4 linked regions of the Diceros bicornis minor genome follow. The protein of the gene in region 2 purifies or fractionates together with the protein of the main gene of each other region. This does not show direct contact. Links are inferred from orthologs where the notes say so. Each region holds a gene or a part of one and is shown on either strand. Other genes may lie near its edges.

What was found.
Region 1: the proteins of PFDN5 (region 2) and PFDN1 purify together in Homo sapiens (affinity purification with mass spectrometry; 7 studies listed by BioGRID and IntAct, with this or other methods). This does not show direct contact. The link is inferred for Diceros bicornis minor from reciprocal best matches to the Homo sapiens genes PFDN5 and PFDN1.
Region 3: the proteins of PFDN5 (region 2) and VBP1 purify together in Homo sapiens (affinity purification with mass spectrometry; 7 studies listed by BioGRID and IntAct, counting the BioPlex papers as one, with this or other methods). This does not show direct contact. The link is inferred for Diceros bicornis minor from reciprocal best matches to the Homo sapiens genes PFDN5 and VBP1.
Region 4: the proteins of PFDN5 (region 2) and PFDN6 purify together in Homo sapiens (affinity purification with mass spectrometry; 5 studies listed by BioGRID and IntAct, with this or other methods). This does not show direct contact. The link is inferred for Diceros bicornis minor from reciprocal best matches to the Homo sapiens genes PFDN5 and PFDN6.

The regions. Positions count from the first base shown.
Region 1 is NC_080740.1:58,601,484-58,609,427, forward strand, and holds the start of PFDN1 (prefoldin subunit 1), read right to left. Parts: upstream 3,014-7,944; 5' UTR 2,969-3,013; coding exon 2,936-2,968; intron 1-2,935. UniProt on the Homo sapiens protein: Binds specifically to cytosolic chaperonin (c-CPN) and transfers target proteins to it. Binds to nascent polypeptide chain and promotes folding in an environment in which there are many competing pathways for nonnative proteins.
Region 2 is NC_080756.1:16,973,273-16,980,637, forward strand, and holds the start of PFDN5 (prefoldin subunit 5), read right to left. Parts: upstream 3,019-7,365; 5' UTR 2,984-3,018; coding exon 2,912-2,983; intron 2,739-2,911; coding exon 2,636-2,738; intron 2,325-2,635; coding exon 2,293-2,324; intron 1,360-2,292; coding exon 1,285-1,359; intron 1,169-1,284; coding exon 1,063-1,168; intron 52-1,062; coding exon 1-51. Other genes in the region: ESPL1 (separin), read right to left, coding at 4,163-4,364, 4,650-4,814, 4,982-5,065, 5,232-5,347, 5,540-5,644, 5,769-5,939, 6,048-6,203, 6,701-6,823 and 1 more. UniProt on the Homo sapiens protein: Binds specifically to cytosolic chaperonin (c-CPN) and transfers target proteins to it. Binds to nascent polypeptide chain and promotes folding in an environment in which there are many competing pathways for nonnative proteins.
Region 3 is NC_080781.1:138,789,850-138,797,176, forward strand, and holds the start of VBP1 (prefoldin subunit 3), read right to left. Parts: upstream 3,014-7,327; 5' UTR 2,998-3,013; coding exon 2,905-2,997; intron 1-2,904. UniProt on the Homo sapiens protein: Binds specifically to cytosolic chaperonin (c-CPN) and transfers target proteins to it. Binds to nascent polypeptide chain and promotes folding in an environment in which there are many competing pathways for nonnative proteins.
Region 4 is NC_080753.1:31,171,212-31,178,112, forward strand, and holds PFDN6 (prefoldin subunit 6), read right to left. Parts: upstream 1,939-6,901; 5' UTR 1,727-1,938; coding exon 1,663-1,726; intron 1,431-1,662; coding exon 1,360-1,430; intron 1,279-1,359; coding exon 1,154-1,278; intron 903-1,153; coding exon 773-902; 3' UTR 514-772; downstream 1-513. Other genes in the region: WDR46 (WD repeat-containing protein 46), read left to right, coding at 2,403-2,471, 2,570-2,782, 2,899-2,979, 3,132-3,244, 3,369-3,456, 3,595-3,656, 3,923-4,027, 4,113-4,263 and 2 more. UniProt on the Homo sapiens protein: Binds specifically to cytosolic chaperonin (c-CPN) and transfers target proteins to it. Binds to nascent polypeptide chain and promotes folding in an environment in which there are many competing pathways for nonnative proteins.

The DNA.
Region 1 (7,944 bases), on a different chromosome or scaffold from region 2:
AAGTCAAATTCAAATATATTAAAATAAAGCATGCAGGGGAGGGCCCCGTGGCTTAGCGGTTAAGTGCGCGCGCTCCGCTACTGGCAGCCAGGGTTTGGATCCCGGTTGCGCACCAACGCACCGCTTGTCTGGCCATGCTGAGGCGGCGTCCCACATACAGCAACTAGAAGGATGTGCAACTATGACATACAACTATCTACTGGGGCTTTGGGGGAACAAAGGAGGAAGATTGGCAATAGATGTTAGCTCAGAGCCAGTCTTCCTCAGCAAAAAGAGGAGGATTGGCATGGATGTTAGCTCAAGGCTGATCTTCCTCACAAAAACATAAATAAATAAAAAAATAAAGCATGCTAACTAGAGACAAAGCTGTGAAATTTACCAAAGCAAACACCAACAAAAGTCAATATAATTGTAAAGGATCAAGCCACTATGCTAAATACTGAATTTACCCTGTCCTCAGAAGAAGCAATCTATTTGAAGAAGCAGAACAAATGCACATTAAATAATAACCATATCAAGTAGCAGGTACCCAAGGAATAATAAAAGCAATAAATGCAACAGTCAGAGGATGAAACCCAGAGACTGAAAACAAGAATCATAAGTGTAACAACTTGCTACATTTGCATTATACAACTAGGTTTCATAGCACTTTCCCACATTTGTTTGAAATATTAACATTGGAATATTAATATGAGAGCACTGAGGGATATAATAAAAAAATCTCATTTACTCTTCTCAATGATGTTACGAGTCAGGGATGGCAGTTTCATCATCATAGTTTACAAATTAAGTAACTAAATGTGTTAAAGAGGTATAAATGGCTTGCACAGGCTTAATAACTATTAGGTGGAAAGGCAGCTACAGTACTTAAATTCATTTCTTCTGACCCCTAGTTCAGAAATCTTTCTATTCTACTGTCTACAGTAATATTCAGAATATGAATATTTTTAAGAGAAAGAAAAAAAAAGAGAAAAAAATTTCAAAGCATTGGTAGACTTTATCATGATCTTCACATGCACATACCAAGCCAAATTTGACCCTTGTGTACACTTAACTCAAAGATAAACACAGATCTTGGATATTTTTGTTGAAGTGCCTGGAATAACTTTCACCTGCTGTCAAATTTATGCCTTACTAATAACATTAGTGACTGCAATACATGGCAAAGTCTACTACTTATGTTTTATTCTGACTTTGGTCTCACCTAATAGTAAAGTTTAAAAAGATTTATTTGAGGAGAGAGGAGGTACCTGAAATTTCCTATTAGTCTCCACCCCCTCCAAAAAGAGACCTTATAAAGATATTAGAAGATAAAACCTTTAAACAACAAGTTTCCTTTTTTTTTTTTTTTTTTTGGTGAGGAAGATTGTCCCTGAGCTAATATCTGTGCCAATCTTCCTCTATTTCGTATGTGGGACGCCACCACAGCATGGCCTGATGAGTGGTGTGTAGGTTTGCCAGGGATACAAACCCATGAACCGGGGGCCGTGGTCCACTGAAGCAGAGAGTGCCTAAACTTAACCACTATGTCACTGGGCCAGCCCCACAAGTTTCTCTTATGGTTAATTTAATTGGTTGTCAAAACTATCCAATTTAAGTCTGTAATCATTTTCTTAGTATGCATTTTGTCCACAGGTTTCTTAGCATCAAATCCAAATAATACTGGGAGGCAAGTCCATTCACAGCTGTACTCTATTAGCTCTTTCACTAAACCCTGACTTAAATTTGAATTTTTAACAGAAAAAAAAAAGTTAAACTTTTAGAATGCTTCAAGCATTCTTAAAATGAATTTTGTTTTGCATGTAAAATTATAGGTATTACCTGATTGTTCTGTACATAGTTTGCTAAGGAAGCTAGTATATTGTTAAAGCTGAGATACTACTGCATTAGAGACCACCAGGTAAGGGCTAAATTTACAAGTTTCCAAACAGGAATGACAAAAAGCAAGACACACACACATACGTACAAACGGCTTCATTTATTAGGAGCAAGAGCTATGCAAAGGTTGACCAGAAGGCAGTCTTTAGTAAAATCTGCTTTTCTGAAAAACCTAAACTAATGGTCAAAGGTGTGAAGTAAAGCAGAGAATGCTGGATTCTACTCTCAGCCTGTGCCTGAATTTTTTCTGGTACTCAGTTTCCTCTTCTAGAAAAGTATAGGTTTAAAGTAGATGAAGTCTAGCATCCTTTCCAATCCCTGTGTCCCAGCGTCCCCAAAAAAGGATATCGTTTTGGGTTGGCAGTGGTGTTAAAATCCTGACAACTCGCAGATGGCAAAAACGTTTTTAAGTAACAACACGTTAATAAGCAATTGTTTGAAGAGAGAAACCCAATTCCTTCAGACATCGATTTTATTTGGAAAACTTTACTGGACTTGTTTCTGTAGTTTACAAGTTCTTCAAAAAAAGGGGGAAGGGGGTGGAAGACAAAGCCCTCAGATGAACATTGCTATGAGAATATCTGACGCGGAAATGTATGTATATACTACGACCTTTCAAGATGGAATCAAATAAGTGGACTAAAAAACACAAGGTTGGAACAGGGAGTTTTTCAAAGCAGATGGGGATGCAGAATTACAGATGCCTCGGCTCGTCCGAAAGGGCTCCAATTTGAAACGCTCACTTCAGGCCTTACGATGCAACTGATGGCTCTGAGCGCAACGAAACGGCTCTGGAGCTCGGAACGAGGGGACAGGCCAGCCAACGGCCCGCCTGACTTAACCAGACCAAGCCCAACCGGCTCTTATCCAGCTAGAGACGCTCGCCCACCACTCCAGCCTAAGGAGACCCGGTCCCGCCTTAGGACTCTGGGAAATCATTCCCCAATTCCCTGAGGCCTCTTTCCTTCCGCAGGACTCGAGCCTCACTCGATATTCTTGTTCACACTCCCCTTAGCTTCCAAAGAGAAGCCACTGCCTGCTCAATACCCTCCTTTACCTTCTTCAACTCCAGATCCACGGGGGCAGCCATCTTGGTTCACTCTCTGCGCCTGCGCGGTGGGAGAAGGCCAGAAAGAGGAAGCGGGAAGGGCGCGCCTTGGCGGTTTGATAGTCCTCTTTCCTTCTGCGCCTGCGCATGAGTTGGGCTAATTGAGTTTCCTCCTGGCTCTGGGGCTAGCATCCCTTGAAACTTGGGGATTCCGATTCAGAGTCTGTTTTCCCCACGTGAGCGATCAGACCTGGCTTGCTTCGCCACATCCTTCCAGACAGAGCACAATGCGCAGATTTCGCGTATGGTTTTAAGCATTTTGACAAATAGCTTAGTTTGTGCTGCTAAATTGGGATGTATGTGGATCCGGCCAAAACCTCTTCAGTCATTCGGTCCTTCAAGCTAGTTCCTGTGTTGTCAGGAAGAGGAAGAATCAGCCTGAGCCTCAAGCATGCCAATATGAAGACCAGAAGGCTTCGTTGAAGTGTTTTTTGTGCGTGTGTTTTTTTTTTTTTTTTTTTTGGTGAGGGAGATTGGCCCTGAGCTAACATCTGTTGCCCATCTTCCTCTATGTTGTATATGGGATGCCGCCATAGCGTGGCTTGATGAGCAGTGCATAGGTCCGCACCTGGGTTCCGAACCTGCGAACCCTGTACCACTGAAGCAAAGTGCATGAACTTAACCACTATACCACCAGGCGGGCCCCTGAAGTGTTCTTCCAAAGAACTTATTTGTACTGAACGCTCCTGGAAGACTTTCTAGACACGTGGTTCTGAAAAGAGGCCAAATAAGTTTGTGGAAAAAAATACAGATTCTCTGGTCTTTATCCCAAACTTAATTTAGAATCTTTCAGATTGGGGCCTGGAAATTTTGTAGTTTTGCAAACTCCCTTTATGACCTGATGCAAGTTGTCTGCAGACCCCATTTTGAGAATCTTCTGTAAAAGACCCGGCATTTGAACCAGAAGGATGGATAGTATTGGACTTTGGAAATGAAAGAAATGGATGTTTTACCTACTCTAAAAACTTGTGAGGAAAGAGAAAGGGCAGGGAATTTGGAACCAGCAAGATCTGAATTTAAGATTTGGTCTACCTTGAGCCTAGGTCTGTCTGGTTCCATTGGCTAATTGTGTGGCAATACAGTATATCTCCTTATTTAATTTGAGAGTAACAATACTGACCTAACAAAGTTATTGTGAGGATTAAATAAGATCAAGATGAAAAGCTCCAAGCATAGCACCATGCACACAGTAGGTACTCAATAAATAGTTGTAGTTAAGCTGACGTAGTTAGCATTGTCATGTTTGTCTTTCAAGGTGCAGCCCAATGGAGGAGACCAAAAATAATCCCTCCTCTGAACTCTCCTCAAGACTACATCTGTTCCTCTCTCAAAGCACATGACACTTTCTACCTTTAAAAAAAAATTTTATTAGACTGTAAGCTCCTTAAAATCAAGATCTGTGGGATAGTGGTTCCCCCACCACTTATACCCAGAACACTTATCACAGTGCATCACAGGGAAGGGATACAAAATAAACACTTGTTGAGAATGAATTCTTCTTCAGAAGAAAATTTGTCATCACTCTCTAATTTGGGAAATAAAAAAAGGGCCTAATTCTACTCTGGGATTGTCTTAGAACTTCATTAGAGATGATCAATAAATAATGACTGAATATTAAAATTCAAAGCAGGTCTCAGATACTTTCCTATACATTACCTTATGAGATTTTGAAACATTCCTCATAGAGATATGTGCAATGTAAAAGTTAAGAGCCTGGGCTAAGGTGTCAGACAACTTGGGTTCAAGTACTGACCGCACTATTTAAGAGCAATGTGACCTTAGGCAAGAATCTTCTCTCAGTTTTTTTGATCATTGTTCCTTTTTGCATACCACTCCTTCCTCCTGAGTTTAATTTCCTTCTTGATGAAGTAAATCCTTCAGTAGATTCTTTCAGAAAGAGTCTTTGAGAAGTAAACTCTCTTAGTCTTCGTGTTGTCAGTTGAGTTGTGTCCCCACAAAAAAAGATGTATATCCTACCCGGGTACCTCTAAATGTCATGTATCTGGAAATCGAGTCGTTACAAGAGGTAATCAAGTTAAAATGAAGTCATTAGGGTGGGCCCTAATCCAACATGTCTTAGTTCTTCAGACTGCTATAACAAAATACAGACGGTCCTCAACTTCTGACAACTTATACTTCGAATTTTGAATTTTGATCTTTTCTGGGTTAGCGATATGCAGTACAATACTCTCTGATGATCCTGGGCAGTGGCAGTGAGCCGCAGCTCCCAGTCAGCCACGCGATCATGAAGGTAAACCACTGATACACTTATAACCATTCTGTTTTTCACTTTCTGTACAGTAGTCAGTAAAATACATGAGATATTCAATGCCTTGTGTTACATGATTTTGTCCAAGTGTAAGTTAATGTAAGTGTTCTGAACATGTTTAATGTAGGCTAGGATAGGGGCCAGCCCTGTGGCATAGCAGTTAAGTGCATGCACTCTGCTGCTGGCGGCCCGGGTTCAGATCCGGGCATGCACCAATGCACCGCTTGTCAGGCCATGCTGTGGTGGTGTCCCATATAAAGTGGAGGAAGATGGGCACAGATGTTAGCCCAGGGCCAGTCTTCCTCAGCAAAAAGAGGAGGATTGGCATGGATGTTAGCGCAGAGCTGATCTTCCTCATCAAAAAAGTAATAATAATAAAGGTAGGCTAGGGTAAGCTATGATGCTTGATAGATAAAGTGTGTTCAATGATTTTCTTTTGTGTGTGTGTATGTGTGTGTGAGGAAGATCAGCCCTGAGCTAACATCCATGTTAATCCTCCTCTTTTTGCTGAGGAAGACCGGCTCTGAGCTAACATCTATTGCCAACCCTCCTCCTTTTTTTTTTCCCCAAAGCCCCAGTAGATAGTTGTATGTCATAGTTGCCCATCCTTCTAGTTGCTGTATGTGGGACGCGGCCTCAGCATGGCCAGAGAAGCGGTGTGTCGGTGTGCGCCCGGGATCTGAACCCCGGGCCGCCAGTAGCAGAGCGCGCGCACTTAACCACTAAGCCACCGGGCCAGCCCCAACGCATTTTCAACTTACAATATTTTTAATTTTTGATGGGTTTATCAGGACGTAACCCCATCATAAATCGAGGAAGATCTGTACCACAGACTGGGTGGTTTATAAACAACAAACATTTATTTCTCACAGTTCTGAAGACTGGAGTCTAGGATCAGGGTGCCAGCATGCTTGGGTGAGGGCCATATTCTCGGTTGCAGACTGCTGACCTCTCACTGTGTCCTCCCTTGGTGGAAAGGGCAAGGGATCTCTGTGGGGTCTCTTTTATAAGAACACTAATCCCAGTTGTGAGGGCTTTGTTCTCATGACTTAAGCATCTCCCAAAGGCCCTACCTCCTAATGCCATCATCTTTGTGGGTAAGGATTTCAACACATTCAGACCATAGCACAATATGACTTGTGTCCTTATAAAAAGGGGAAATTTAGACACAGACATAGATATGCACAGAAGAAGGACTATTTGAAGAGACATAGGAGAATGCCATGTGAAGATTGTAGTTATGCTTCAGGCTATCAGAAGCTGGAAGAGGCAAGAAAAGGATCCTTCCCCTATAGGTTTCAGAGATAGCACTGTCAACACCTTTATTTTGGTCTTCTAGCTTCCAAAACTGTGAGAAATAAATTTCTGTTGTTCTAAGCCACCCAGTTTGTGGTACTCTGTTATGGCAGCCCTATGAAACTAATACACTTTGTATACATAAAATTGTCTTAATTTCACTCTTAATTTTAAATGACAGATTAGCTGTGCATAGAATTATAGACTGACAATTATTAAAGACATTTTTCCATAGTCTTCTGGCTTTTATATACTGATAAAAAGTCCTGTCAGGCTGCTTTTCGTGATTTTGTTAGAAATCATCTGTCTTTTCTCCGGTGTGTTTTAAGACATTCACTGTGTTTTGCGTTCTACCTTTCCACTTTGGTGTGTGTGTGTGTGTGTGTGTGTGTGTGTGTGTGTTTTCTTTATTTTTCCTGCTTGAGACATAATATGCTTCTTTAATCTGAGAATTCATGTTAATTCTGAAAAATATTCAACCAGTATCTCACAGAATGTTGACTCTCTGCCATTTTCTCTCATGACTCCTACTAGAACTCCCATTAGAAATGTGAAGCATCCATATTTCTTAGCCTCTATTTTACACTTACTATCTATTTCCTGAATCTTGTGTAATTTATTCAATTCTTTCCACCAATTTACTAATTCTTTCTTCAACTATGTCTAATTTCCTGTTTAAACCACACCTTGGGTTTTTATTTCAATAATTATTGTCTTTAATTCCTGAAATTCTATTTGACCCTTTCATGATAAAAACACTCAACAAACTAGGAATAGAAAGAAACTACTTTAACATAATAAAAGCCATATATGAAAAACCCATAGTGAACATTATACTCAATGGTGAAAGACTGAAAGTTTTTCACTAAGATCAGGAAAAAGGCAAAGATGCCCACTTTTCTCACTTCTACTCCATATAGTACTAGAAGTTCTAGCCAGAACAATTGGGCTAGAAAAGAAATAAAAGGCATCCAAATTGGAAAAGAAGAAGTAAAATTATTTCTGTTTGCAGATGATATGATTTTCTTTTCTTTTTTCTCCCCAAAGCCCCCAGTTGTATATCCTAGTTGTAGGTCCTTCTAGGTCGTCTATGTGGGACACCGCCTCAACACGGCTTGATGAGCGGTGAGTAGGTCTGCACCCAGGATCTGAACTGATGAACCCCAGGCCACCGAAGCAAAATGCACAAACTTAACCACTGCACCGCCAGGCTGGCCCCGCAGATGATATGATCATATATGTAGAAAACCTTAAAGATTTCACAAAAAAAATTTTAGAACTAATAAATGTATTCAGTAAAGTATCAGGATACAAAGTCAACATACAAAAATCAGTTGCATTTCTGTATACTAACAATGAACAATTCGAAAAGGAAATTAAGAAAACAATTCCA
Region 2 (7,365 bases):
CCCCCAGGGCTGTGAGCTGCTGAATCTTCTGGCTCATCATCTCCATGACCGCTGTGAAAAAGAAGTCAGAGCCTGGTCAGGAGCTAAAGGAGAGAACCTAGAGGTCAGGAAAAGTGACAGGGACGTTTAAGGACAGGCAGACAACCTGCTACAGTTTGTTAATAAAACTTTTAACAGTGATCCACTGTGGGGGACACACACTAACACAAATTTAGAGTCTACACTGTGTCAGTCAATATAACCACTGGGATAGGAAAATGAACAAAATACAGTATTCAATGAGTCAGACATAACCAGGAAATTATAATGTGGAAAAGATTTTTGCCTTTAGAACAGTGGTTCCCAATCCTGACTGTGTAACAGAATCACCTGGGGAGCTTTTTAAAAAACACTGACCCCTGGAATCCCCCTCCCTACCCCCCGGGTGATTTAGTTGGTTTGGATGAGCCCAGGCTTTCTTTTCAAACCTCCTTGGATGATTCTAATGTGCAGCAGCCAGGGTTGCAATTGCTGGTACTTAGTTAAGGCTTTTTTTCTTTTTTTAATTTTAATTTATTTTTTTCCCCCCAAAGCCCCAGTAGATAGTTGTATGTCATAGCTGCACATCCTTCTAGTTGCTGTATGTGGGATGTCGCCTCAGCATGGCCAGAGAAGCGGTGCGTCGGTGCACGCCCAGGATCCCAACCCGGGCCGCCAGCAGCGGAGCGCGCGCACTTAACCGCTAAGCCACGGGGCCGGCCCATGGCTCTATTTCTTTCCTGTGTTCACTTACATGTATCTTCTCCCCCATTCCATCCTAATTAATAGGAGCTCCACAAGGGCACAGACATGATTTTCTTCCTCTCAATTTCTCAAGCACTGTCTCCACGCCGCCCCACCCCCAGGAATCTACAAATAGCAGGTATGTAATGCACAGAATCTAGAGAATAAACACATCAAAACACCAAAGAAAAAGACATGGTTTTAGTCCAGTAAAGGGGACACCCCTCTGGTTCACCTGCAATCCATGTTCTCTATCATAGATATAGAAAGGGTCAAGCAGTGCCCCCAGGCCAACCTTACCCTGTTTCATGGCATGCTTCTCCTGCAAAGCTGGCTGGATTTTCTCCATTTGCTTGGTGAGGAAGTCTACCTTCCTCTTGAAGAAGTCCTTGGCATCCTCAGCTGTCTGCAAGGTCAGAGGTGAATGAGGAGCTAAGAGGAGACTCCAATGCTGCACTCTAGTCTTCCCCTAAACTCCCTTTCCCCGCTCACAGGAGTATGCACATGCTTCCTCCCACTCACCTTCTCTACATAGTAGCCAGTTCCCACATCGATGAGGACGTGTTCCACATCATGCAGCTTCCCAGGGACATACATCTGAGAAGCAAGGATTAAGGGAAAACTAGCCCAGCAGGAGTCATGATTCCCTGTCACTAGCCTGCTTGGCTTTCTAAGACCCTCCTTCTCTAAAAATCTCCGAGGCACAGGGACTGAATCATCTGGAGGCCCTAGAACTATACCTATAAACTCCAAATGGGGAGAGACAGAGAAGCTGGTTCCTTGTGGAGAAAATGACATAGGCTGGAACACTTTTACCCTGATCCCATCTCCCACCTCCAAGCAGTTCTTACAATTCTTCCCATTAGCCCCTCCAGAAAGACAAGACATAATATATTCTCACTGCTGTAGAGTGTGAAAAGTGAAAAGCCAGCCTCACTTCCCCTCAGCACTCCCAACTATGAACTACTTAATTCCTGATGGATTTAGTGCTCATTATCTAGCCAATCCCTACTACACTGCTATTCCTGTGTTTCTCTTTTAGCCTGTCAGTTCTCAGACTAGTCTCCAGGTGCCCTATTGTCATAACTTACTCAAGTAAAACACTCAACAGGTAGACACAACCCAGGTTTCTTAGTAACAAAAGGTTAGGAATAAGAGCCACAATTAAGCTGAAATTGAGGATTAATAAACAGAGCCAATCCCTTTGTTTCTATATCCTCTTATTCTATTGCTTATGTCTTCTAAGTTATTAGTAAAAGTGTAAACCACCAGTTTTATCTCCATATTAGATTATATCCTCAAACAGCAAAAGGAAATAATCACACCTCAATTCTACATATTTCCTGCTCACAAGGCATTGACTGGATGTTGGCCCCAGGTTAGACAGGAGAGCTACGAAGTGTGTATAATAAGAGTGTTCTCAGAACCATGGGGGCACTCTGGAATAATCAAAACTACCTCCCACCCCTTTTGGGGAGGGGGGAAGGAGAAAAGGAGAGGGCAGGGTAGCAGTTCGTGTGGAAAGGATACAGAACTCGTCAGTGGGACGAGTAATTCTTTCCCTGTAAAAGCAATTAAGACAAACATCTGGGGAAGGTGGGCACCTCCGACGTTAAGATGTTAAAAGGGAACTCCAACATGACACAGCGCCCAGAGATAGTATGAAAAGAAGGGAAACGGGGAACAGGAGCAGAGGAATGTCCTGTACATTTCAATGCTAGGCAGGCACCATGCAAAGGGCTCGTGTAGCGGCAGACAATATGTAACGGATTGCTTTCTCGTCTCGGGTAAGGGCAACTGGATTAGGAGGCGGGACGAGAGAGGAAGCCGGCTCGCCACACCCCCCGGTTGCCTTCACACGCCTACCCCATACCCTCGTTGCTCCTGTTCAGGACGTTCAGACAGTCCTTGGCTTCCACATACTTGGTCTGTACCACCTTGAGCTGAGCAATGGACGTGGACAAGAACTCCACTTCCTACAGAGGACGGGAAAGAGGGTCAGAGTGGGAACCTGCGGGTCCTGGGACCTGATGGGGGTTTCACCTGGGAAGAGAAGCTTCCCAAAGTGGGGAGGAAGGGGGGCGAGGGAGTACGCGTGGGCAGGAGGGATGCGAGGGGGGAAAGGGCTGTCTCTGGGGCCCGTCCCCACCTGATCCAGCTGGTTCTTGAGCATTTCTAGCTGCGGCAGGTTCAGCTCCGTGATGTTAACCGACTGCGCCATGTTGGGGAGGAGAACTAGCGAAGCGGAAGGCGGCTCTGCGAGCAGCGCTCTAGCCTTCCCCTGCGCGCCTCGATGGCTGCGCGGGAGGCCTCGCTGCGCCAGACATCTCTATGATCCCCGTCCCGGGAGGGGCTGAGCTTCTCAGACTCGCCTTTGATGAGAGAAGGTAGTTGTGCGTTCTCTGCATAAGACATCCCAAGCCTAGCGTAGTAAAATTGTGGCAAACAGGACTCCTGCCCTCAAGGAACTTAAAAATCTTAAAAGTACTCAGGCCATAACCGCAATTTTGCAAAGCAATGTATGCTACTCCACGTGGATGGTATAAACCCGGTGACTGAGAGTCAAGGAAGACGCCTGGGAAGTGCGGGGTCAGGGGGAGTAGCGTCGTGAAAGTGGTGCTGTCGGCATGAAGCTGAGGAGTCTAGGGGTGGAGAGCATGATCAAGAGCCACGTTATCAACGGACGAGTACGGCACAAGGTTTATTAATCAATGCAATGTCTTACCGTGTGCTAGATGGAGGGATAGGGGAGAGGTCTGTGCTTCTGAGGAGCTTAACAATCTCTTTGGGGAGACAGAAACCATGCATAAACAGCGGAGCCCCACAAAATCCGCTGCTGAAGTGCACGGCACCGACCAGTGTAACAGCTGTGTGTGGGGAGAGAACGGCCTCTAACGTCCAACTTTGGGAGTTGGGGGGGGCAACTGAGGCATTAAAGCTAATGTCACTGCCAGGACACCCGAGGGCAGGAAGACAGGACAGAAATGATGGTGCCTGCTCAGGACGCTCCCAGTGGGTCTCTCTCTACCCTTCCTTGGGCCTCTGTCCCCACTTAAGGCATTTTGATGCCCCTCTCTCCTTCAGCTTTGTCTGCTGAGGCCAAGCCAGGCCCAGCTTTGTCCTGTGGTTTTGCCTTTCTCCCCAAGGCTCTCAGACTTGAACTCCTGTGAGCTGTTCTCATCTGTTTATAGTACCACATGGTCGGTGGGGGGCAATAGTCTTGTCTTCAAATGAATTACACAAAACAAGATTTAAATAATGTGTCTTTATTACATTAATGTTAAATGTTTCATATAAAACACTGGGGAAAATCACTTAAAATTTACCCTAAGGGTTAAATCTAAGTTTGGAGGTAGAACAGTCACATGGCTTCTATCAGCGATAGGACAGTTCCAAGGGATCACTGCAGGAAGACGGGCAAGCCATAGGCTACAGGTGCAGCCCCAATAATATACTTGAGTCGGGGAGCCTGGCGGGCCTGGTTGACATAGTAGAGAAGGGGGGCTCCTGGGCCTGCTCCAAGCCAGCCCTGCAGCAGAGCCTCCGTGTAGCGGTCAATGTCACGGTCAGTCACATCCCAGAGGTTACCCAGGAACAGGGGGCTGGGAAAAAAGAAGGAAGAAATACAGAGTAAAGGCTCTAAAACAGAATACACAGGAAAACATGATTGGCTGGTGATGGGTGGGTAGAGAGAATTGAGCCAATGAGGAAGTCCCTGGGCCCATAGTTCTAAGAGGAGAGAAGAGGGTAAAGGATTAAAGTCCCAGGCATGCCAGGGGACTAGGATGGGAGGAAGGTGGGGTACAAGAGAAGAAGGATTTAGGGTTCAGACCTGGGAAGGAACCTGGGGTGGGGACCTAGGATGGGCTTTGCCTCTCGAGACTCACCAGCCAGCCATGATATACTTGAGCACAATGCCAGCCCCCTCCAGGTTTCCATGCACAGCCAGGGCTGCACTGCTGCAGCCAAACAGGAGGGCCACTGCTCGGCAGCTCAGCCGCAGGACAGTCTGTCCATCCAGGAAGCGGGCACCAGCCCCATGCCCTGCATAGCTGAGGCAGAAGGAGGTGAGAGGAGCCTGAATGAGCAGTATCAGGCCTCTGCTATGTCTCCAGAGGCCTCCTGACTCAGCCAGGGGCTCTAAAGCCCCAAAGCAAACCATGATGATACCCTCCTCTGGGACAGCCCCTCTCCCTACCTCCCTGCCCTAAGCACTCACATATATAAGTCATGCTCTGTCAGGGCTGCCTGCACCTGTTCCGGACTCGGCACCTCCCCGACCACCCCTTTCCAGCCTGCTTCACTGCAGGGAAAAAGCAGGAGTAAGAAGAGGGGCCACAGAGCAAAGAGGGCAGAAGGAACGCTAGGGAGAGGGTGGGCTGCAACAGTTCATTCTGGAGAAAAGGACATGGTGCCTGCATGTTGTCGCCACCCTTCTCCACCCCCTTTCTTACTCTTATCCCCCCGACCTGCTAAAATGGGCTCGAAATTGCTCCTCTGTGTTTGACAAGTTATTGTGAGGGTTCAGGACGTAGAAGGTACTGCGCGGATCCACCCCTTGGCTCAGCACCGATGAGGCCCCAGCCTGAGGAAGAGACAGTGGTTATCAGGATCCTGGTCTGGCCAGAGGGCTGCAGCCCCACAAACTCTAAGCCCCTGCCATGACTGATCCATTCCTAAGACCTTTTCCTTTCTTCCCAGGTCTCTCTGCATTTTCTTTCTTCAAGTCCCACCCAATCACCAATCACCCCCATGCCCCACTCCCTGAACCCCCAACCTCTTTGATGATGGAGTAGCTGAGGAGGAATCGGAAGGAGGGCAGCCGAGTGACAGACAGTGCCCGGAGGCTGGGCATGCTCTCCCATGGTAGCTTCTGCAGGTCCTGGGCAGAAAGCACTGAGAGGTTACTGTCCCTAGCCAGGTATACGCAGGAGTCAGAAGGGGCGTGGGGGTGAATAGGTGCCCACTGCCCACCAGACACTGCCCCTCGGGCCCCAGCTCCTTACCTTGTCTAGCACTAAGACAAGGTGCCTATTGCTTGGTACCGCCTGACCCCGTAGACGCCCTATGGCCTCACTCAGGAGCTCGTGGGCTCGCTCTGGCTGGGCAGGGCACAGCCCACAGGCCAGGGCCTGCACGTCCTGAGCAGTGAGAGTACTGGCAGCACTGAGCAGGATCTGCAGGGGCACAGCGGTCAGTGAATGCCACAGCTCCAGCTCCGCTCACAGTGGCAGGTGGGAAGGAGTTAAGTCTAGCTTCTGCCCCTTCCCTGATTCTCAACTCACTTTCAGCAGAGTGGGGTCAGGATATTTCCAGCCACATCCCTGCAACAACTCCTGTAGGCGGGAGGCCTCCTGGGCAGGGCCGGGGTCCTCACTGGATGGCAGCAACAGCCCCCTCCAGCAGCCCAACACAACCTTCTCCAGCGATGTGACGAGAACCTGAATGTAGAACGGAACTTTCAGGCAGAGAGGGAGCCGAGTTTCTTTCCCACAGGCACCGACACCGAGAGGAGGAAATGGGTTTTCCTGTGTGTCTCTGTCTTACATTTCCTTCTGCCAGTCATAGAAGGCAAGAAGCTAGAAACATGTTTCATCTGCTGCGACTTGGGGGCAGTACAGATGAGATGATTTATTACCTATCACTATGTTTTGACAAATACGAACAGGTGGGCAATGACAGCAAAACTGTGAAGCTGACACTTGGGCTTAAATCCTTTTTCTTGTGTGTATCTTTAAACATTCCATTGTCATAACTCCTTCAAGTTCTGGGCTCTTGTCTCAAGTCCTTCCCAAGTGACATAATTTTTTATTTAGGCCTACACTTCCAGAAAGGGCTAGAGGTGGCTCGGCACTGAGCTGGGACCCGTGAGAGAGGACATTGGCACTCCAGATCGTTCCTAGGGCAGCCTGACCCCACCCCCCCTGGGGGCACACACCTCCATCCTGTGGTCCAGTCCGAGCCGCCCTGTCCACCATTCTCGCTTGTCAGTACAGCTGCTGTTCTCTTTCTGTTCCTTCTGGATGGCATCAAACTCTTTCAGGGCCAAACTCAGAGGCAGCTTTGGGAGACGGGGCTATGAGATATCTGCTTGTCCATGTGAGCACCATCTCTCCACCCCCCAGCCACAGAATGTGAGCGGCTTGACCAGAAGCCCACCCCAGCCCAACTTTGCTCCCTAGCCCAGGACACCTACCTCGCTCTGGGCAGTGGGGATCTGCACAGTGACTGGGGGACTGTCTTTTTCCAGCCGGGTCAGCAGGAGGGTGTTGCCCACAGTTCCAGGCTGGAGGGTGGCCAGGGCCAACACACACACAGTCACCCCTGACACACAGGACATAGCCAGAATCATTTCAGCTGTCACAAGGAATTCCCTTCCCTGTCTTTTGCATTCAATCCCTATCCTGCACTCAAGACAACTCCAAGAAGTCTTTTGTGGTCACTGGAGTGCAAGGTGCTCTCCCTTGCCCTAACAGCTCCCTATGGAAAGAGACCATGTCTTGTACTTCTTTGTGTCCCTCGCTGAAACTAACAAAGGGCCCTGCAGAGTGAGGCACTCACATCCCCTGTGAACCTGTATCATGTGAGCGTAGGAAGACCCTG
Region 3 (7,327 bases), on a different chromosome or scaffold from region 2:
TAAAACCGAATAGCATTTTTAAAATGTATACTATATGTTGGTCCTTGAAGAAAAGCTAGTTAATTAGATGAGGATCAAGAACTAGATGAAAATACATGGAAACTTTAAGGAGATTCTATAAGAGCCTTCTAGTACTGTAAAGAACTTTAGTCCTTCATTGTAAGTAAGTTAAATTCAATTATCTTATGGTTTATGGGATCTCTAGGTCATTATTCTTCTCCACACTTACTAGCTATGAGGGAATATTTTAGCTTAAGCAAAGCAAGGAGAAAAAGGAAGAGAAACACAGCAAGGGAGTGAACTATGAAGCCATCAAGCTAGAGACACAGTAAAAGAAACTGAAAAGGTGAGGCTGAGGCAAGGGCTGAGCTCTGCATGTAAAATGGAGATACCATCTTCCTAGAAGGGCCACTGCAGGAAAGAGAAATAAGTCAAAGTTTCTAGCACATGGTACCTGTTATTAGGAGCTTAGAGTCTAACATGGAGAAGTAATTATAGCAGCATAGGACTGTGGTTAAGAGACAGGGGCTGCTTGGTTTGAATTCTGGCTTCACCACATACTAGAGGTGTTGACCTTGGGTAAGTGATTTAATCTCTCTTTTCCTCAATTTCCTCATCTGTAAAATCAAAAAAAAGTACCTTTCCTCACAGGGGATTAAATGAGTTAGCATGTGTAAAATGCTTAGAAGAGTGCATGACAGCTAGGAAATGCTCAACAAACATTAGCTATCTCTATAACACAATGTGCTAAGGGAACAGATGAAAGTACCAAGAATTCCGTCTTGCAGCAGTGGTCAGGAAAAACTACAGGGAAGTCATATCTGAACTAGATATGAAGTTCTAAACATGAAGAGGTCAGTAAATGGACAAGGGGGAAAAAAAGCAAATTACTGCACCACTGGGAATGGGGGAAGGGGAAAGCGTGAGGTCTGACTTCTAACCAGTATGGTATACCGCCTCCTATCATCACAGAAACTAATATATATTAAGCATCTACTTGCAATACTGAAAGCACATTCTCCATTTCTCATGGCAACTCTGTAAGTATTGTTATTCCTCTTTCAGTTAAAGAAACGGAGGCTCAAAGTGGTAAAATAATATGCTCAAGATTAAGCAGCAATTGGGAAGTAGAGGCAGAATTCAAACCCTGGTCTATTTAGATGCCAATGTTCTTTCTACAATACCATACTATTCCCATTAGTTTGGGAACATAAAAATAATTATGTAAAATTTGGATTGCTTATTATATCATATTGGTAGAAATTTTAAGGTCTAGAAAAAATAACCCATTAACATTTTAAGATAAGACTTTATAAAGCCCTCATAAAGTTTATCCTCCTGAATTAGATTTTTGAAGCCATCTCCAGCTAAGCACCATGAATGTAGTATTTAAGCCACTATGGAAATTCAATTTGACATCCAGTTACAAGCTTATACTATGTGTCAGCACTGTGCGAGGACCAGGAGAAATGACACTGAGCAAGGTAACTACCTCACTTTCCTCCCAGTAGCAGAGCACGATGTGTAAGTACAGGCTCCAGAGCCCCATAGGTTGCCCAAGTTCAAATCCTGGATAACTCACTTACACCCTGTGTGACTCGGGGCAAGTTACTCAAGGGTTCTGTGCCTCAGTTTCATCATCTACAAAACGGGAATGACAACAGTATCTACCTCCTGGAGTTTTGTAAAAGCATTAGGAAAGTGCCTGGCACTCAACAAATTTTCTCTCTCGTTACACTTAGTTGGGAGATGAACGTAAAGAAATAAATGGCACAGCTCAGGGAGAAAACGCAAAATAACTAAAGAAAATAACTACAAAACTGAATCGGCAAATGCAAATATACAATATAGAGTGTATATAAAAGTGGTATAAATAAAAGAATCAATAAAACAAATGGGTCTTTTGAAGGATGTAAGACACCATTAACAAAAAGGTAGAGATAACACAACAAAAGTACAAACCAAAAGGTCGAGAAAATTCCATTAAGATTTTATAGTAACTCAGCCAGAACTGAGTGGGGAAAGACAGATGATACCGGCTTGGAAGGCCAGTCAGGTTTTCTGTCATTATTCAAACAGTTTTCAAATACTATTTCTAGATTAGCCTGATGGAAAGACAGGGTTGAAAGCATCTACTTGCTTCTCTTTGGACTTGGGTTGGTCTCCCTGTTCTGTGAAGCCTCCAAACTGCATTCCCTGCCTCTTGTCTCAACTCGACACGATTCATTCTCTACTAAGTTGTTAGAATGATGTACCTAAAACCAAATATGATTATATCACGGCTTTATTTAGACACCTTCTAACGACATCCCGTTGCCTACTGGATAAACCCTCAATTCCTCAGCAGAACACACAAGGACTTCACATTTTCACCCTATCCCACTTTTCCATCAGTCTCTTATTCCATTCCTCTAAGGCAACAGACCACCGCATTCCTTCAACAGACTAGGTGTCATTTCCTGTTTTCACACCTTACCAGCAGTTATTCTGCCTACTCATGGTATCCTAAGTCACCGTTTATCTGTCAGTCTCTCCAGCACTTAAGCTGAGTCTCGAGCTTCTCACCGCTTCCCTTTTTCCAGGCAGCAGGGGACGAAACCCTGCGTCCGGGAGCGGGAGGGCGGGTCGGTCTCAGGGACCGCCCCCGCCCCCGGCCCGGCTCCCGCGTCCTCTCGCCCCGCGCCCCCTTCCCTTCTCGGGCCTTCTCGGACCACGGTTCACCCCCGGGCAGAACCCAGCACAGCTCAGTCCGTCCAGGCGTGGAGGGAGAGCGGACGGGGCACTCTCTTCCCAGGTCCTTTAGCTCAACTCCTTTCCCCAACAGTCGAGGCCAGGGTGGGGACCGGCAAGGAAGGGGTAGCCCACGGCCTAGCATCAAGATGCCCAGGACCAGCGTGCTCTTACCACAAACACGGCCTCCGGAATCCCTAGGTGGAGCCGCCGCCCGTTCCCTGCGGGCACTTCACCTAAGCCACAACTGTCCTTAGCGGCCGCCATCTTGGAGAAACAAGCGTGCGACTAACTGCTCCGCCAGCCGCCAGCCGCCGGGGGTCCGTGATTGGCTCGCTCACACCAGCAAGCCCTCCCCTCCCTTGTGAGTCTGCGCGTTCATTGGCGCGCAGGAAGTAGCCGCCCCTTCTCCCTCGGACTCAGCCTGTGGGTGCTGACTGGCTGCGCGCAGGTGAGTGACAGGCGTGGAAGAGCCGCGGAGGAGAAGCTGGTTCCGGGGGAAGGACCAATACAGACTCCTGCGAAAAACGGTCTCGGGGATGTTGTGGGTAGGCAGGGGTGGAGACCCTGGGAATTGGGGACCAAGTCGGACCCCACTCCCACCCCAAAACAGGCAGCACCCTCCAGAATGGCCTTTGAAGTGACTCGATCACCTCTCGAATACAAGCGAACCTGGGAACTAGACGGCACCATGGGGCTTTGGCTTCAGTGCCTTTCTGGTCCCAACATCCCAACGAGCTTCCTGGCCCTTGAAGGGGGCTTGTTTTGTGGCTGTTTCTGGAGTCACTGGCCTGATTCTAATAAATACCCCGCCCATTGCACCAGCCTTTCTTGAAAGCATCCTTTGATCAGAATCTCGCCACTCCAGCTCAAACATTTTCAAAACTTAAGTCTACATAAAATCCTAAGGACTCTTCTGAGGCTTCTAGTCCTAAGGACTTCCCCAGCATTGCCCATCACTACAACTCTTTGAGAGCAAGTGCATTATACATACCCAAGTAATTATTCTTTGGTGTCTTTTCTGACATCTAACCACCATGTTTATTCTTGCCTTTGCTTGCTCTGCAGTGATTCCTAGTGAAGCTGTGCTTCATCCGCACACACAAAGCCTACCATGAGCCAAGCCCTTTATGAATAAAGGATAAATGTCAGTTCCCTTACCTAGTGGGGACACACACAGTGATTAACATTTATTAGAAACCAACTATGTACCAGTCACTGAGTCATGTTATTTAATCCCCACAGCTCAGTGTGAGAGGGACTGCTATCATTCCTAGTTTACATACAAGTAAAGGGCCTTAAAAATGAACCATTTGTAAGATAATAGGATAAATGTTATAATAGTCACATCGGGTAGGAAGGGAGCACAGGTGAAGACACTACCTAAGTCATATTTTAAAATGAGAATAACAATGTGTACCAACAAGGCTGTTGTAAAGATTGCCACACAATAGGGCAACCAAAGAATTTTATTTGGATTATCTTGTTTCACCCAACATCCTGATAAAGAAATAACAAGCAATAGGATATTGGAGTATATGAGGAAGCCATTTGGTATAAAACTAATTCAGCCTGAACTTGTTTTTTTCCAAAAGGGCCTGACACAGCCGTTGAGCATGCATTGTATATCTGCTTTAAGTATTTACTATGTCCCAAAGACAACAACAATGCCCTTAAAGATAAGGATATAACTTCCTCCACATCAGCATTTCCTTAAGGACAAGCATCTTTCCCTAAACTAGGGATTGATTGCTGACCTGCTATGACCACCCACCTCCAGACCACTGACCTGCTGTGTTCATCGAATTGCAGTGCCAGCAAAGCAATCTCGTGACCGTTGTAAAAGGGACATTCCAATCATATGTGATGCATTTGGAGTGACCCATTCCTTTGTGGAAGGACTCTCTGGGGCTATATGGTCCTCAGATCTGGCTCATAATAAACTCACCCCAATTTTGATTTATAGATTGGTTATGGATTATTTTTGTTGACAATCCCAACATCCTTCCTGTCTGGTCATTATGAGCACATATATAAAGTGACCTTGTCATGGTAGGGTGCCAGCAGAATCAGAAAGAGGTTGATGGGGTTCAGGGCAGGCTGCCCCAAGATGTGCCACTCTGGTATGTGGATTATTTCAAACTGAAGACAATCAAGGCTCAGAAGACTCTGAAAGAAACTTTGAACCCCGCCCCCAACTGCCTTAAAGGATTTAAGATAGAAGGCCTATCCCCAGGACAGGCCATCCCTATAGATAACTCTGGGTATGGATAGACTGGGACGGTCCTTGCTAAGCCCATTCTTATCAAAGTTCTGTTTACCAAACATTTATGTTTGTAAGGGAAATCTCCATTTGTAAAGGTATCTCCCTCTCTGTACTGGGAAGAAAGGGGGATGACTTCATCTGTAGAAACTTATCAATGGGGAAGGCAAGGCCTTAAATCTGCATAATAACATTACTCTTGTTTACTGTGCTTTTCTGGTAATCTCCCATAACTGACTCCCCCAACATCCTCTTTTATCTTTAGCTGAAGAGGGTATTTAAGAGGAGAACCTCAGCCATTTTGTCGAGTTACCCAGTCTTTCCTGGCTTTCTCTCGTGTATGCATATTATAAAGCTTTGTTTGATTTTCTCCTGTTATTCTGTCTCATGTCAATTTAATTCATACCTCAGCCAGAAAGGACCCAGAGTGGGTAAAGGATAGTCTTCCTCCCCTTCAGGGTCAAAGAAAAGCCTCTCAAGGCCAAAGAAATGAAGCTACATGCAAAAAGATCCTGGACTAGAGAACCAAGAACCCAAAGTCACCCCAACACTGAGTCAAAGAAGGGGTCAGGCTTGGGAAGCCAGAACTCCATGCCTCAAGTTCCAGGAAGGCAGGCTGCAGCAGGAACTCTCTAGCTCCTAATAGTATAAGGCAATCTAGATTAGTACTAATTAGTACAGACAGTCATAGAAATAGAAATAATCTAGTTGGAGCCTCTCATGTTACAGATGATGAAACTGAGTCCTAGAAAGAGAAAAGAATGTGCCTAAAATCTCACAGAAAGTCTTGGGGTAGAGCAGAAAAAACCCAAATAATTCAGTTCCAAGTCCAGTGTTCATTTTTGCATGAAGAAAGACAGACTTGTGGAATAAAGAATGTCCAGAAACAGACAAGTACACAGGGAAATTTAGTAAATGACAAGGGTGGCATCTCAAATCACTGAGGCAAAGATGTACTTTTTAATAAACAGTGTTGTAACAGCTGGGTAGCCATTTGCGATGTAGGGGAGGAAGACAATTCCTCTATCCTCTAGGTCTTTCTGGCTGGCCTAAGAATTAAATTGACATGAGACAGAATAACAGGAGAAAATCAGAGCTTTATAACATGTATACATGGGAGAAACTCAGGAAAGCTGAGTAACTCACCAGAATGGCCAAAGCCGCCCTTAAATACCATTTTCAGCTAAAGACAAAGGAGGATGTTGGGGGTAGTGGCTTGGGGCTTCAAAGGGGAGGAAGGCAATTCACATGGAGATGGAAAAGCAAATGTTTGGTAAAGAAGTGTTTGCTGGGCCAGCTATAGACAATGTTATCTTATGGTATTAGCTCCTTCCTGGAACAGGCCTTCTATCTTAAATTCTTTTAGGCAGTTAGGGGGAAGGTCAAAGTTTCTTTCAGAATCTTCTTCTTAAAAATAATCAAGCCAATGAGACACCTTTTGAGGTGGCCAATTATGATCCCTCACAGGGAAAAAATAAAATTAGATTAATATCACAAACTATATACAAGAATAAATTCCAAATGGATTAGGAAAATAAATGTAAAAAAAGTAAATCATATAAGTACGAGAAGAAAATATGGGGTAATTCCCCCTTTAATTGTGGTGTAAGGAAAGACATTCTATGACTTATCCAGGGACAATAAAAGAAAAGGCTGATACATTTGCCTATTTATAAAAAACAACAACATAACTCTTACAAAAATGACACCAGAACAAATTCAAACTGTTAAGAAGCTGGGAAAAAATATTAGCGAAATTGTACCAAAGAAATAGACTAAATGTCATACTGAAAAATGGGCAAAAGACAATTAACAAACAAAAAGACGTAAGAATTTCTTGTAAACATGTGAAAATGTGTTCAACCTCACAAAAACTAATAAATTTCAAAATAAAACTACTCTGTGGGGAAAGCAGTAGGAAGAAAGCAGGCCTATCTGAGAGCTGAGGGAGGGGGATGGGGATGGGGGCAGGGAAAGGACAGTGGACAGAGGGTAGAGCAGAGCAGGATGAGCATGGAGCAAGCGCCAGGGAAAAGGATTAAAGAGCAGAGAAGGGAAGAAGAATGACATAATTAAAAGAGGGGGCAAGGCCAGAGGACAATGAGCAGGAATGGAAATGTGGGACACGGAGCAGTACAGGATAGAGGAAAGGGGGCAAGTTAGGAAAACTGGAGGAAGGGCACACTCTCCACTCTGAACACACTCAGGAACCTGCTCAGGGAGGGGAACGTGGCTGGAATAGGGAGGAAACTGGGCCTGGTCAGAGAACTCGGGAGAGGGAGGCAGGTGGATTGGAGAGAGAGGCCAGGCTAGAGGACTGGGGGCAGAGGGAGG
Region 4 (6,901 bases), on a different chromosome or scaffold from region 2:
GGTTTATTTCTCCCCAGCAACCTCTCTAACCCGGTCCCTTTATTTGCTCTTAAATTTTTCTCCTCATTTGTCACAGACCCATGTCAAGTACTAGCCACCCAATTAAAGTGATCAGTATGAAGACCTCCCCTGGCTGCAAGTTTGTAAGAAACGATTTTTGGACAAAGAAATGGAAGAACAACTTTGTGGACAATGGACAAACTTAGAGGACATCACAAAGCATTACATGTTGGGATTTTAAATCAGTTTAAGCTACATTCAAACAAATTCTAGGAAGAGAGAGGCTAAAAAGAACTAAGAGAGACACCAGGACTATTTGGAGGATAACAAGTAACCATAGCAAGGAGGGTCACCACATTTCAGCCTGGGGTTTCAGGTTAGAGAATTGTGAGTTCTTCAATTAAACTGCCTTTCCCAACAATTCCTGCATTACAAATGCCCTTCCCATGTTTCCTAAAGACGTGTGCCAACAAAGATAAGAGGGAGTTAAGGGTTGTATACACAGGCAAGTAGTAAGTTTAAGAGAGATTTTAGTCTCAAGAAAGAAAAAACGATTACTCTACCACAGACAGATTCCAGTTGCAAGAATCTGGACCTGTGGGAGTAATGTAGGTGACATATATATAAGGTGGAAGGGGCGGGGGGAATGGATGGAGAATTACCACAGAAGTGTCTGGTCAGGAAACAGCTAGAAGTTTTCACATTTTATTAGCTACAGTATAGATCCTAGAGCTGCCTCATTCCCTCCCCTCCCCGCCCCCCCACCACAGGGTCAGGCCTTCCCAGGAGCCCCTGCCTTTGCTGCCTGGGCCCGCTGGAACTCCTGCTGCAGCTGGGCAAGGGTCTCCCTCTGTTGCTCTGACTGCCGCTCGAGGTCCCGGAGCTGGGATTCATATCGCTTACTGAGGAGAGGCAAGAGAGACAAAAAAGCAAATGAGAAATGAGGGAGACTTACTATTGAGTGTGCTGCAGACAAGAAAGAGATTGGTGGAAAACTTGAGATCTAGGGGAAGGACAAGCAGCATTAAAAGGGAAGGGGTTAGAGGAACTGGACAAGTGGGGGCTACCCTGAAGAGCTACTCTACAATGGCTCCTCAACACCCCTACTCCAACAGTGTCAGATGCATCACAGGGCAGTGGAACAAAGACTCACATTTCAGCTGTGATGTAGTCCAGCCTCTTCCCCACTGTGGCCCGAGCCTCCCCCAGCTCCTGTTTGACCAGCACAGGACCCAGAAGTTTAAAGACCACGTTGGACCCATCCAGCAGGGCCAGTTCCTGATGGAAGAATGGGATATATATGATCACAATCACTGCCACTACAGGTCCCTCCTCGCCCCACAAATCCCAGTCTCTCACCTCCTTCACGATATTATTTTCTGTTAGTTGTGCCTCAAGTTTCTGCCGCCCTGACATGGATTTACTCAAGTCTGGGGGGTGGGAAGAAGGACTTGATTAGAGACATCAACAAATGTGTCCCCTGATCCCTCCCAATCAGAAAATGGAGCTGAGGAAGTGGACAAGGATGGGGACGGCGGGTCAGTGGGTGGAGAAGGGGCTGCACGCGGGGGCCTGGGTGGGGCAGAAAACATCTTGGGATGGCTTTGGGTTCTGAGCGAGTGAGGGGATTGGGGCGAGGCTGCACCGACCCTGCCCCCTTACCCTTCTGTAGCTGTTGGTATTTCTCCACTTCTCCCTGTAGCTTCTTCTGGATCAGCTCTGCCATGGCGGGGACGGAAGCCTGCGGCGAGCGGGCGAGGGGCACTGGGTCTCACACTCTGGAACGTGCCCGAGCTCCCTTTCTGGCCGGGCCTGCGGAAATGACAGCGCTCTTCAGAGGCAGCCTCTCGGGGCACCGCAGCCTCTCTCCGTCCCGGATATCGACTCTACCCCGGCCCCACGAGGTGCCGGGCGAAACGAGACCCCAGACCCCTCAACCGACACCCTACCCTACTCACGTTCTCCCTTCAGTACTAATAAACCCGGAAGCAAACAAAGAATGCTGGGAAAAGACGGCGCCGGAAGCTGTCCTCTGACGTATGCCGGGAACTGTAGTTTTGACATGTTTAATGAATGGTGTTCTGCTAAAAAGACTGGACTCGGAAGGTTTTAGGCAAGATGGGGAAACGAAGCTGGAAAAAGAAACTGCCTCGTTCCTTGTGCCCTGGCCCCGGATTTGCCTTTCTTTCATTACTTGGGCAAAACCTGCCGCTCAGGTGGGCGAGGGCGAGGCTGCCCCGCACCTCCCTGGGGAGCGCGCCCTCACTCAAGATGGCGCCTGGAAGGCTTCAGACCCGGTGCGTGCTGATTGGATGACGGCCAGAGGACTTCCGGGAGTTTTCAAGCGGACTGTTGGACAGCTGAGAGAAGTTTGCACGTGGATCGTGGTTCAGGTGGGCTAGATGGAGACGGCCCCCAAGCCAGGAAGGGGTGTCCCGCCCAAGAAGGACAAACTTCAGGCCAAGAAGAAGGTAGAGACCTCCCTGGGGTGGAAGGGAAATTTTTAACTGCGGGGTCGGAGGGGCGGGGCGCGGGCAGCGGAGTATCAGGGATCCTGATCTGCCGGTAGAAACCGCGGCGATACTGGGAGGAAGAGACCACTCCGACAGCTGCCGCAGCCTCTCCAGGCCCCCCTCAGAACAAGAAGAGAAATCGAGAGCTCCGCCCCCAGAGGCTAAAGAATAATTACATCACAAAGAAGTCTCGGATCTCCAAGAAGCCCCAGGTCCCGAAGAAATCCCGAGAACGGAGAAATCCGGAGCCTCAGCGGAGCTTGTCCGGGGTGAGCCTGGGACCGGATCGGGTGGCGGGGCAAGTCGCCTTGGGCTTTGAGGTTGCGAGGGTTGGGATTAACCCGAGCCTCGAGCCTGTCTGTTAATTGCCTCCTCCCTGCCCCAGGCGCAGGATCCATTTCCAGGCCCCGCCCCCGTGCCTGTGGAGGTGGCTCAGAAGTTCTGTCGCATTGACAAATCCAAAAAGGTGAGGACCAGCCGGGGGGGAGGGGGGCGGGGGGGGGTTGCAAGCAGGGAGTGACTGGGTGAGATGAGTGGAGGCGGGACCAGGTGGCTGTCTTGTGACTCCACATATTTGCTGGTTCTTCTCGCGCTTCTCTACCACCAACGATGTTATAGCTGCCACATTCTAAGTCCAAAACCCGAAGCCGAGTTGAGGTGGCTGAAGCTGAGGAAGAGGAGATAAGTGTCAAAGCTGCTCGTTCTGAGCTGCTGCTTGCTGAGGAACCTGGGTAAGTGGACCCTAATGTGGGCCTCCCCAGCCCCCGCTTTATGGCACTCTTCTTTCTCCTTTTTATGTTGGTACACCCACTTCATATTAGGAAGCTTTGCTGCAACCTTACCACTCACTTGCAGGTTTCTGGAAGGGGAGGATGGGGAGGACACGGCAAAGATACGCCAGGCCGACATCGTGGAGGCTGTGGACATTGCAAGTGCAGCCAAGGTGAGCCTGAGGATGGAAAAGGGGCCAGTGAGTTGATTGGTGGAGCAGAGCAAGATGGACATGGGGACTAGAAGAGGGAATTACTGAAGGGAGCCAGCTCTTCATGATCCTTTTTCTTTTTGCTCTTCCCTTTCCCAGCATTTTGACTTGAACTTGAGACAGTTTGGACCCTACAGGCTGAATTACTCTCGAACTGGGAGGTAAGGTTGAATTCCAGTGACTCTGGAACTAGGACATAGCGGTGTCTCTTTATCACGTCAGCCAAGCCCACCTCAGCCACACCAGCGTATGTCTGGGGTGTTGAGTGGGGAGGGTCCTGTGATTTGCTTGCATGTGAGAGAGAGCATGTGTAGCAACATCTCTTCTCTCACCTGGAGAGGAGGAGCTGGCGTGGGGCAGACCTCAAAAGGTCTGAGTCAGGGTGCTCCCCTGCATTGACACCGTGCCTATACCCCACCTCCAACAGACACCTGGCTTTTGGAGGGCGCCGGGGTCATGTGGCCGCACTTGACTGGGTGACAAAGAAGCTCATGTGTGAGATCAACGTCATGGAGGCCGTGCGGGACATCCGGTCAGTGGGGTGAGACAGCCCATCCCTGATTGAGTGACAGCCCGTGACGCCTTTTCCCACTGAACCACTTCTCCCGTCCTCCCAGGTTTCTGCATTCGGAGGCACTGCTTGCTGTTGCTCAGAACTGCTGGCTTCACATCTACGACAACCAGGGCATCGAGCTCCACTGCATCCGCCGCTGTGACCGAGTCACGCGGCTTGAGTTCCTGCCCTTCCACTTCCTCCTGGCCACAGCTGTGAGTGGCTGTGGAGCACAGGGACCTGGTGGCAGCCCTGGAGAAGACTGCCCTTCCCCTGGGACCACAGTGGAGGGAGGACAGAGGGCAATCACGACTCATTCTCTTCCTCTCTTTCTCTCTCTCTCATAGTCAGAGACAGGGTTTCTGACCTACCTGGACGTGTCAGTGGGAAAGATCGTGGCAGCTCTGAATGCTCGGGCTGGACGGCTCGACGTCATGACTCAGAACCCTTCCAATGCCGTCATCCATCTTGGACACAGCAATGGTGCGTCCCTGGCTGGGCTTTGACTCCCTGACCATGCTGACTTGCTTTTTTCTATACTGTACTTCATGAGTACTTACCTCCCGCTCTTGTTACCTCTTGGCGTTGAGTCCCCATTTTCTCAGGTTTAATCACCTCAGCGCCCTGTTAGTAACTTCAGCTCTTCTCCTCTGATGTCCAGGTACTGTGTCCTTATGGAGTCCAGCTGTGAAGGAGCCACTGGCGAAGATTCTCTGTCACCGTGGTGGGGTCCGGGCTGTGGCAGTAGATTCTACAGGCACGTAAGTCACTTGTTTGGGGGTCACAGCTGGGAAGAAAGGCATAGAGTCAATGTGTCTTTAGGAGCACAGACTCTGCAGCCAGCTGCCTGGGTTTAAATCCTGCTGTTACCACTGACCAGCCGTGTAAGTGTGGGCACGTTACACAACCTCTCTGTGCCACACTCTCCTCACCCTGGGAGTGAGGACATGAGTGTCTAGCTCAGCACATTTTTCCTGTAGAGTCAGGTAGTAAATATTTTAGGCTTTGCTGGTCAAGAGGCAAAATCGAGGGTATTATGTAGGTACTTAAATAACAACAGAGACAACAAAGCACAAATTTTTAAGCAATGAAATTCAAAATATAATGATTTAATACAAAATCTTTGTAATATAGGTCTACAAATGGGAAGAATTCGATTCCTCTTTTTGAAGATAACATTTTGCTTAATTGAGGTTCATGGTTAGTGTTCCAAATCACCAAACTAAATTGCAAATGTTTGTCTGTTAATGCTCATCTGTAAAGAGATTTTCTATATTTCATCTTTGGAAACATCTTTTCACACAGATAGATGATGAGACAGGTGGTCTGTGAGGTGCTCAAAGTGCTGTCAGTTATAACCATGTCACTGAGACTTGTCATGCGCTGGGCAGCAGTGGGAAGCGATAAGATGCCACACACAGTGTCTGTCTTGACCTCTCTACTGTGCTAGTGTAACGGAGAAGCAGCCACAGAACAAGTAAATGAACAAATGTGGTTGTGTTCCAATAAAACTTTATTTGTGGACACTGAAATTTGAGTTTTGTTTAATTTTCACATCTCAAAATATCCTTCTTTTGATTTTTTTCCAACCACTTAAAAATGTAAAAACCAGGGGGGCTGGCCCCACGGCGTAGCAGCTAAGTGCATGCGCTCCGCTGCTGGCAGCGCGGGTTCGGATCCCGGGCGCGCACCGATGCACCGCTTGTCAGGCCATGCTTTGGCGGGGGTCCCATGTAAAGTGGAGGAAGATGGGCACGGATGTTAGCTCAGGGCCAGTCTTCCTCAGCAAAAAGAGAAGGATTGGCATGGATGTTAGCTCTTGTAGGCTGTTCAGAGATAGGTGGTGCAAGGCTTTATTTGGCTCATGGGCTGTGGTTTGCCCAGCCCTGGGCTTAGCTCATAGAGCTGTTGTAGGCGTTACAGTGAGGTAAGGCACGTAGAGTTTAGCGTGGTGCGGGGTGAACGGAGTGCACCATGTTTCATCCTCATCCTCAGCGAAGATGATCGTGCTCTTTAGGTCTGGCTGGTGCTGTGAGGGGTGGGGGTGGTGGGTCCACTTTGAATCTCTGCTCTTTCTGAGAGAGCTTTGGCATTTCCACAGCTCTTCTGATCTGTATGTGTCTCTGGATCTGGCAGACTGTTTCCCGTACAAGTTCCCGTGTGTTTTCCTCTAATTCCTTTCATCTGTCAGGCATTCACCAGGCACCTGGTGTGGGCTGGGCTCTACACTGAGGTTCTGGGGGTATAAGGATGAATCGGCCATTAAGCCTGTCCCAGTGTGTTGTTCCATACACTTTATTTACAAAAACAGGTGGCTGTGGTACAGGAATGATTATCCAGGTCACGCACTTAGGTTCTACTCAGTTGTCTTCTGTCACCCCAGACTGCATGCGTCCATCAAGGGATAGGTCACCTCTCTCCCAAAGTTCCTCCTTGCCTGCCCCCTTTCTGCCACATTTTCCTGTCACCCACAATATGACTTCTTTGCCACCTCTAGCCTCACAGCCCGTGTTCTTCAGCCATCAGTAATAGCAGGAATCCAAAGCACCATTCACTGAGTGCATTCTGGGTGCCCAGGCTCTGCTACTTGCTTTGGTGGTATCACTTCATGACCACTCACTACCCCCCGTGACGTCCTGACTGCTTTTCCCCTCGAGGGTCCTCCAAGTCTGTTCTCTCCATCCTTGCCGTTTCTGCGGACATGCGTGATGCTCACAGCCGGTTTCCAGCCTCCAGTTCTTCCTCCTCCTGGCGTGCCCCGGGTGTGTTGTCAGAATAATCTTTCCCACAAGCTGCTTTCCTTTTACACTGCTGCCCAGGCATCTTCTACATTAGGTATAAACTACATAACTT